2 linked regions of the Coturnix japonica genome follow. The protein of the gene in region 2 purifies or fractionates together with the protein of the main gene of each other region. This does not show direct contact. Links are inferred from orthologs where the notes say so. Each region holds a gene or a part of one and is shown on either strand. Other genes may lie near its edges. The genes, in order: NUP37 and NUP85.

Region 1 (3,808 bases), on a different chromosome or scaffold from region 2:
ACAGTTATCAAAGAAAAGTTAATATTAGTCATGGTAACAGGACTCACCAATAACAGACTCCTGTAAGGCAAGCCAAATATCTGTTTGAAATTACCAAGAGATTTTTGGTTTTGTCTTTCTTGCTTGGAATACATGAAACATGCTGAAAAATCAAATAAAAAATTATGATTTTCTACTTATCTGTTTTTTGTACCAGAAGGGATACACCAAGTTCAACTTCATTAATGGTCTAATCCTTGCAATTTAGGATTTATTATTTCTTTTGTGTCAATAACTACCTTAAGTATCTACACATAGTTTTTCAGATTATTACAGAAACACATGCTTCTAACAGAAAAAAGAATAAGCAATCAAATCAGGTATCAAAATAGTTAAATAGCAGCAGGGCATAAGGATGTGAATTCTCTTTATGCTTCCCATGAATATATGGTCCTTACAAAGAAAATCAGGAGAACTGTTCATTCAAGTGGTATCAAAATTGAATATATGCTGTTGTTTGCTACTAGCCAGTGTTGGTATACAAAATCAGTAAGTGTGAATGCAGATATTACAGTTACATTGATTGATATCATTGTTTCCTGTACAGCACAATCTCTGTTAGTCAGTTCCTTGTACTCAGAACAAAGTGGTTGAGAACTTGCGCTGCTATACACCAAAGCATACATACATATACATATGTATACGTATGTATATATAGATGAAATCATGTAATCACTGTGTACAGTGTCATAGGAGTATAATTAAAAGTGCTGAAGTCCATAGATTATTATGTCCTTGAAAAGACTCTAGGTTTGCTTTAGAGTGGAAAAGCTTGCAAAGATTTTTTACGTGCTAGGTTTACAAGGTTTTATTATTTCCTCTTACAGCTGATGGTAGCAGAGAAAAATGGAACAATACGATTCTATGACCTAGTTACACACCAGGCCATTCTCTCCTTAGAGTGTGAACAAACACCGCTGATGTCAGCAGACTGGTGTTTAAAGAATACGCTCAGAATTGGAGCAGTTGCTGGAAGTGACTGGCTAATCTGGGATATCTCTCATTCCAGGTATTTTTTACATGTAGGAGAGTATTTGTTCCTTAAGCAGCACGTGAAGAGATGTGACTACTTTGCTAATATAGCATTTAATTGCTATAATTTTATAGTATAATTTTATAGCATCACCTATTCAGTTAATAGTAAGTATTCATCAAAAATTATAAAATCAGTACAGGTCATTTCTTGCCATACTTTTTCTTGCTTACTTCTATCTGTTAAAGTAACATGTTTCCTTTTTGTCCATTTGAGACAACATCTCTCCTGTTTGTGAAACTTGTTTATTAACATTTCATTCTAAGTCATAAATATCTAGTTGTTGAAACATAGTAAAGTCACTAATTACTTCATTTTTTCCTACTCTGAAGTGAAATGTAAGCTGAAGAAAAGCTCAAGTTTTCCATCAACTTCTTCACAGAGAGTAGACCATATTTCCTCTTCAGTGTTAAAAAAGAATTGTTTTGATACTTGCAGTATGATCTGTAGTTGTTTGCAGAAGGGCTTTTTACATGGAATGTCTGTTTTAGTTATCCACAGGACAAGAGACCCGTCCATGTTGATCGAGCCAGATTATTCAGGTATAAGCGTTGTCTTTACTGTGTGATTTTCTTTCTAATATAAATCTATGTATAATCAAGTATTTGTGAGTTAAGGAACATATGTTTCCTAAATCATTTTAAGGGGACCTGGTCTATAAGCTTTGTGAAATTTGTGACTGACCATGATTTTTCTGTTACATGATAACATGCACACAGGGGTTTTGATAGTAAATAACTTACAAGCCATTTCCCTGAATTTCTTTGGTGTCAGTGGAATATCTGATGGCTTCATACAATTAATAGCAAGTGAGAAATCTTCAGTTCGTGAGCACTTCTGATAGTCTGGTAGGGATATTTGAAAGGTACATTTATTTTATTCATAGGTGGTCCCGAGTGAATGAAAATCTGTTTGCAACTGTCGGATATCCAGGAAAGGCGACTACTCAACTGCTTGTTCATCACTTAGGACATCCCCAGGTAAACTTTTGAATTTGGTTTTTGGATGGGATTGCAACACTTCCTTTCAAATCAGACTCATAATTAGCTAAAAGCTTCAACTGAAAAAAGTCCAAAGCCATCCAGAAATGCTGCTTGGCCTATTTGTTTTATTTATTGTTTCATCCATGCTATAGAAAAATTGCACATCATACTTAGCATGTTATTTAAAAGGCTGATTAATCTACCCAATTGCTATGTCTCATGCAAAAAGGAGGAAAAAAACTTCCATTTAGGTTTATATTATTAATGAGAATGTATCAAGACTGTGCATGTTAAGCACAATGAGTATTTTTGATTTTGCTGAAATCAGTATACATTTGCAGAGCTTACAGTAAAAGATATTATCGCCAAACATACTAGTTAGTTGTGATTACACTTAAATAGCAGGAAGTTATTTCATTAAAAAGATGCCTAGGTTTGAAAGCATAACTTTATAATAGTAGTATTGTTAAAAGCAGTGAAAGTAGCTGAAAAATTTATCATGAAAGATGTTGTTACATCTTATTTATACTAAGCGGCTACTGGAACATAGGAAGAGACTATCAGTTATTTCAGTTTCATTTCTGATGTATTTTAACTGTATTTTTTTTCTGATGTATTTTAACTGTATTTTAACTGTATTTTTCACTTTTATGTGAAAGTTTGTTCATGTAACTTCATACACGTGGTGTACATGGTAACCTGTATTGATATTTCTCTTTTTTTTTATTTTAATTTTTTATTCTTTCTTTAAGCCCATCCTTACTGGTACTGCAGCTGTAGGATCTGGATTGACATGGCACAGAACCCTTCCGTTATGTGCAGTTGGAGGTGACCATAAAATTTTCTTCTGGGTAACAGAAATGTAAAAATTGCCATTTGCCTTCAGTATTGAACTTCAGAGTATGATATCTTTTTCACAGCAAAGCAAAGCATTTACTCTTTGGATTGGTAGCAGGATTCATTTGGATTCATTTGCAGGATATAAGAAAAAATAAAATAAGAAACCTTTTGTGTTTCATTTTCAGCTTGCAAATGAAAAAACTATTCTGAAATCAGATACCTATGTTACTTCCCTTTAAATATACACATTTTTCAACATGGTATTTGGTGTGGCATTTGTTTTTTAATGGTAACTTTTTTTTTGTTTATTTGAAGAGATTTTGTATCTGGCAATCTCAGTTGTCTCTCAGTTAACCCAGCACAAATACTTTGAAATTCTCACAGAGTGCCTACAGCATGAATACGTGTCTTTGTCTTAACTTTCCTGATTCATTGCTGTCTTTTAAGAAAGAAAGACAGTAACGTACTGTTGTAACATATTGTCTGTGAATGTATTTGCTGATTAAAGAAATTACCACAAACAGTGAAGAGGCTGATGATGTAATCACAATAATTGTAATACCTACAGATAAAAAATCAAATTGAACCCTACAAAAACTGTATTTATTTGTAGATTTATTTGGGTTACCAGCAATCTAAGAGCTATTTACTACGTATTCCAAGATACTCATATTATTGATTTATATTAATCATTGTAAATTATTTTTTAGGAAGAATGTTCAGTGACTGAATTGTTACTGTTATAATTTAAGGTCTTTTTAATATTTTAGAGTTGTCACATGTACTCTAAATTGAGATTGCTTGTCATCATTTAAACAAGGAAGATGTTTTGTCACCATCTTCTTCTGTGTGCTACAAAACAAGCAAAACCAAATAATTAGCATACATCACAAACTTCAGTTGTGTAATGGTA
Region 2 (3,920 bases):
TCCACCTGCAGAAAGCACGTCTGTGAGTACCAAGCTGTGCAGGGCTACCACGCACCCAGGTGGAATATCAGGAGAATCTTCAAGAAAGCCAAGTAGAGTTACAAGATTTCAACTCTAGGCCCTGCTAATTTGAATATACAACCTCTGTGAATCATGAAATTGGATGGTGGTTGAGTCACTGTCCCTGGATGTGTTTAAAAGCCATTTGGATGTGGTGCTCGGGGACATGATTTAGCGGAGGGCTGTTGGGTAGGTAGGGTAGCATGGTTAGGCTGTAGTTGGACTTGATGACCCTTCGGGTCTTTTCCAACCTGAGTGATTCTATGACCTTGACAATGCTTTATCTTAAAACTACAAAGACAGAAGCAGCATCTCAGGTATCAGTTTCTGAGATGTGCTACAGTGCTGAGAAGAGGAATGCGAGACACACAGGCACGACTTCATCTAAACGTCTGACAGGGGGCTGTACTCACCACGTTCCAGAAGAGTTTGTGTTTTGATGGATTTTCGCTGCTCAGAACTTCACGGACCATGTTGTCTACATCACAGATGTGAAGCTGAACCCAGTCAAGGAGACGAAGCAGGAGAGGACCAGCTTTACACAGAGAAGGTATCACTGTTAGTTCCCAAACTGTTTGTCCCCAGGCAGTTAATTTAAGAAGGTTCTTATGCTTTAAGGTCAAATAAACTGGGAACAAGTTTTTGTTTATTATGCTTCTGTGAGAAATAAATAAATAAGCCAGTGTAAAGTAGAATGCATCCTGATATAATTTAATACAAAAAAATGCAATTTACTGAGGCAGAAAAGGTATCAGAATTCGGTGCTGCTTGTCATACACTCCACAGTAAGCATTAAGATGTAGCACCACGCACGCTGTCTACATTTTAAACGATTATTACGCAAACAAGACCACTTTCAGGCTTAACATCAGAACTGTTCACTGCTCACCTGGCGCTGCTTCAACAAACAGAATCTCACACAGATTCCAGATCAGCTCCATGGCAGAGAGAATAGAAACCTGACAAAAAGCAGAGCTGCGTTTCAGGGTCATAATTGTTCCTGTTATTTAATTTTAAGTGCACAGCTGAATGTGCTGCCCACAGAGATGGGTTTTTGTAGACAAGAGAAATGTCACATTGATATTCCAGAGATAATCAAAAGACAGAAACAGGCCATAACTTCTCTATACACATCCATTTTAGAAAATATCGGTGGTTTGTGTATTGAAATGCAACAGTAATCGCTCCTCAGGGAAATGCAGAACAGTGCAGAAAGTGTTAATTGAAGCCTTTTTAATCTCCTGAGAGTTAGAGAGCACAGAAGGAACTAAAGGCAAACTAAGCAACATCAGTGCTGTTCAAACAACAAACTACAGCCACGGTGTTGGTCTTTGTGGCTTTACTAACCAATATTCATGCAACTACGTGGATGTGACTGTACGTTACCTGAATGCTGTACTGGTTGTGCAGGGCAGAGTCCCGGGCTGAAACTGAGCGAAAAATACACCAAGTCAAAAAGCAGCATAAAAAGCAGCATATTTACAGGTACAACAAAACTTTCTGAGCTCATTCATACAGTCCTTGATCGCTCGCTGGGTACAGCCCCAGATGTGTGCACAGCTGATACAGCTCAGCTCACCCTGCAGAACTCTTTATAAATCTGGTATATTTACAGGACAAGGATGTTAAGACACAGTGAGTCCTCTCACTGTTTCAGAGGAGCAAGCTGGTGAATTTGACTCATTTTTCCACAAAACCACAAGTCATGACATGAAAATACTGCAAGTCTTCCCAAAATCAGTTACGAGATGATGAACCAACATGGAAATCTCAATGATGGAAGATGGAATCCTGTTAATTACTGAAGTTTATATGGGCTGTTTTTCAGTAGCTATAGCAACTTCCAAGAGAAATCTTATTTTTATCATCACAAGTAGCATCTTTTTACTGCAGTGCAACAGACTTACTGGCAGCCTGGTGCATGTCCTCCATGCAGGCTCTTATGACCGAGCGGTAGTTTTTACTCACTTGGACTAATCTGCCAAACACAAAAAGGATCGTTTACAGAGAGATACTGCTTCGGTTACGGTCCCTTTTCTGTGCATCCGTGGATGCTTCCAGAACCAGGGTCAGCCTGGTGGGTGCTGCCCGTGCTGTGCAGGGTCCCACGCACTGTTCAGCACCCAAAAGGAGGCTGTTCCGGCCCCACTCACTGCGCGTTCCTCGCCCTGGCAGCCCGCTCCTCCTCGCAGCGCTGCAGCCCCACGAAGATGCCGTGGGACTCGTTGAAAAGCTTCCGCAGCGTCTCCATGTAGATGTCCTGATCCCTGCGCACCACGAACACGCGCGACGGACCCGCCGCTCCGTCCCCGCCGCCCGCAGCGCCGCATCCCGCCGGCCCCGGCCCCGCGCTGCCGCCCCGGCCGAACAGCGTCTCGCACAGCAGCATCTCGGCGGGGCCCCACTCGAAGCACAGCTGAGCTCGGGCCGGGTCGGCGCCCGGCACCACCTGCGGGAAGGGAGAGGAGAGCGGGGGGCGAAGGTAAGGAAAGGGAAGGGAAAGGAAGGGACGGGGACGGGCGGTCCGGCCCTGACCGTCAGCGGCGGCTCCGTCTCGGGCTCCTCCATGGCCACGCCGCGCTCCCGCCCGCGCTGAGGCCCCTGGCGGCTGCCCGCCCCGCTGCCCAACGCCCCGCGGAGCTCCGCAGCGTTACCCGCAGCCGGCAGCCAGCGAGGCTCCCTGCGGGCTGCTCCGCTTCGGGCCCTCGGGACCGACGGGGCTCCGACACTTCGGGGCAGGCGCGGCCGGTCGCCCCGGAAACAGCGCCGGCATTGAAGGCCCCGGCGGGGCGGGACGGGGGAGGACGCGAGGAGGGGAGGGGAGGAGAGGACGGGCCGCTGTAATGGCAGAGCGGGGCGGGGGGGACGCGGCAGGAGCGGAGCGGAGCTGTGTCGTGTCCACCTGTCTGTCCCGCCGTGTCCCGCTGTCCCGCCGTGTCCCGCTGTCCCGCCGCGGTCGCTCTGTAACGGGCAGTAAAAAGGCAGGTGCTGCTCAGCCTGAACCAGCGCTGCTGAGAGGCCCGAGCCCTGGGCAGTGTCTGTTGGTCTCACTGCTCTTATTTTCCTTTTCGTCGTTGTGTTGAAGGATGTTTTGATGTCTGAGGTGAGGGTGTAGGAATGGGACAGTGTCCTCCTGCCTCAGGATCCCATCCAGTGCAAAGACTGAAAAACTACAAGCTGATGTAAAGCTGCAGCTCCTTTCCTGCTTTGTGCTGACGGACACAGCCCCTCTGCTCACTGACTAAAAACGCCAGTAGCTTTTCATGGCTGCAGCTCCTGCTGCCCTTGAGAAAGTGACTTTTGCCGAGGGAAATGACCTTGGCAGAGGTGAAGTTTAGTTTGCAGTGTCTTAGTCCTTCTTGGAAGGTTGGCTGGAGGTCTGCGTGTATCTAGGAGAGAGATGAGCCTGCACTCTGGCTCAGAAAGGCTCTTGTGCCTGACCAGTCTGTAACTGAATCGAATTACAACCAGAATGGCAGCGTGGAAGTACACAGTGTTCAAAAAGACTTGAGAGCTACAGCTCTGGGTTCAGCCAAAAGAACACGACTGTTTTCTGGGGATGGGAGAAAGCAGCAAAACTTTGAGGTCTAATGAGGAAGGGAATAAAGGGTTACAAAATAGAAGGTTGGAAAGTAATTTCATAGCTTGGGAGAAGGCAAGGAGGATAAGCATCGTGAAAGGGGAAGCATGAGACAGGCAATCACCTCGGCAATGCTTTTCTGCTCCTGGTGCTACACTAGTATTAATGAAGAGCAAAATCCGAATAAGCCACTCGCCCCTTCAGGGTTCAGGCTGAGAAGGTGCTGTAGGCTGACTGCCTTAGCAATAGGAATCCCATATATTAGTTTAAGGGCCAGTGT

Evidence for each region.
Region 1: the proteins of NUP85 (region 2) and NUP37 purify together in Homo sapiens (affinity purification with western blotting; 4 studies listed by BioGRID and IntAct, with this or other methods). This does not show direct contact. The link is inferred for Coturnix japonica from reciprocal best matches to the Homo sapiens genes NUP85 and NUP37.

Annotation. Positions count from the first base shown.
Region 1 is NC_029516.1:56,782,539-56,786,346, reverse strand, and holds the end of NUP37 (nucleoporin Nup37), read left to right. Parts: intron 1-866; coding exon 867-1,048; intron 1,049-1,563; coding exon 1,564-1,614; intron 1,615-1,958; coding exon 1,959-2,052; intron 2,053-2,807; coding exon 2,808-2,921; 3' UTR 2,922-3,158; downstream 3,159-3,808. UniProt on the Homo sapiens protein: Component of the Nup107-160 subcomplex of the nuclear pore complex (NPC). The Nup107-160 subcomplex is required for the assembly of a functional NPC.
Region 2 is NC_029533.1:9,354,961-9,358,880, reverse strand, and holds the start of NUP85 (nuclear pore complex protein Nup85), read right to left. Parts: upstream 2,728-3,920; 5' UTR 2,629-2,727; coding exon 2,596-2,628; intron 2,510-2,595; coding exon 2,214-2,509; intron 2,039-2,213; coding exon 1,968-2,038; intron 1,491-1,967; coding exon 1,447-1,490; intron 1,020-1,446; coding exon 950-1,019; intron 756-949; exon of another isoform or gene 596-755; coding exon 474-595; exon of another isoform or gene 6-473; coding exon 1-5. UniProt on the Homo sapiens protein: Essential component of the nuclear pore complex (NPC) that seems to be required for NPC assembly and maintenance. As part of the NPC Nup107-160 subcomplex plays a role in RNA export and in tethering NUP96/Nup98 and NUP153 to the nucleus.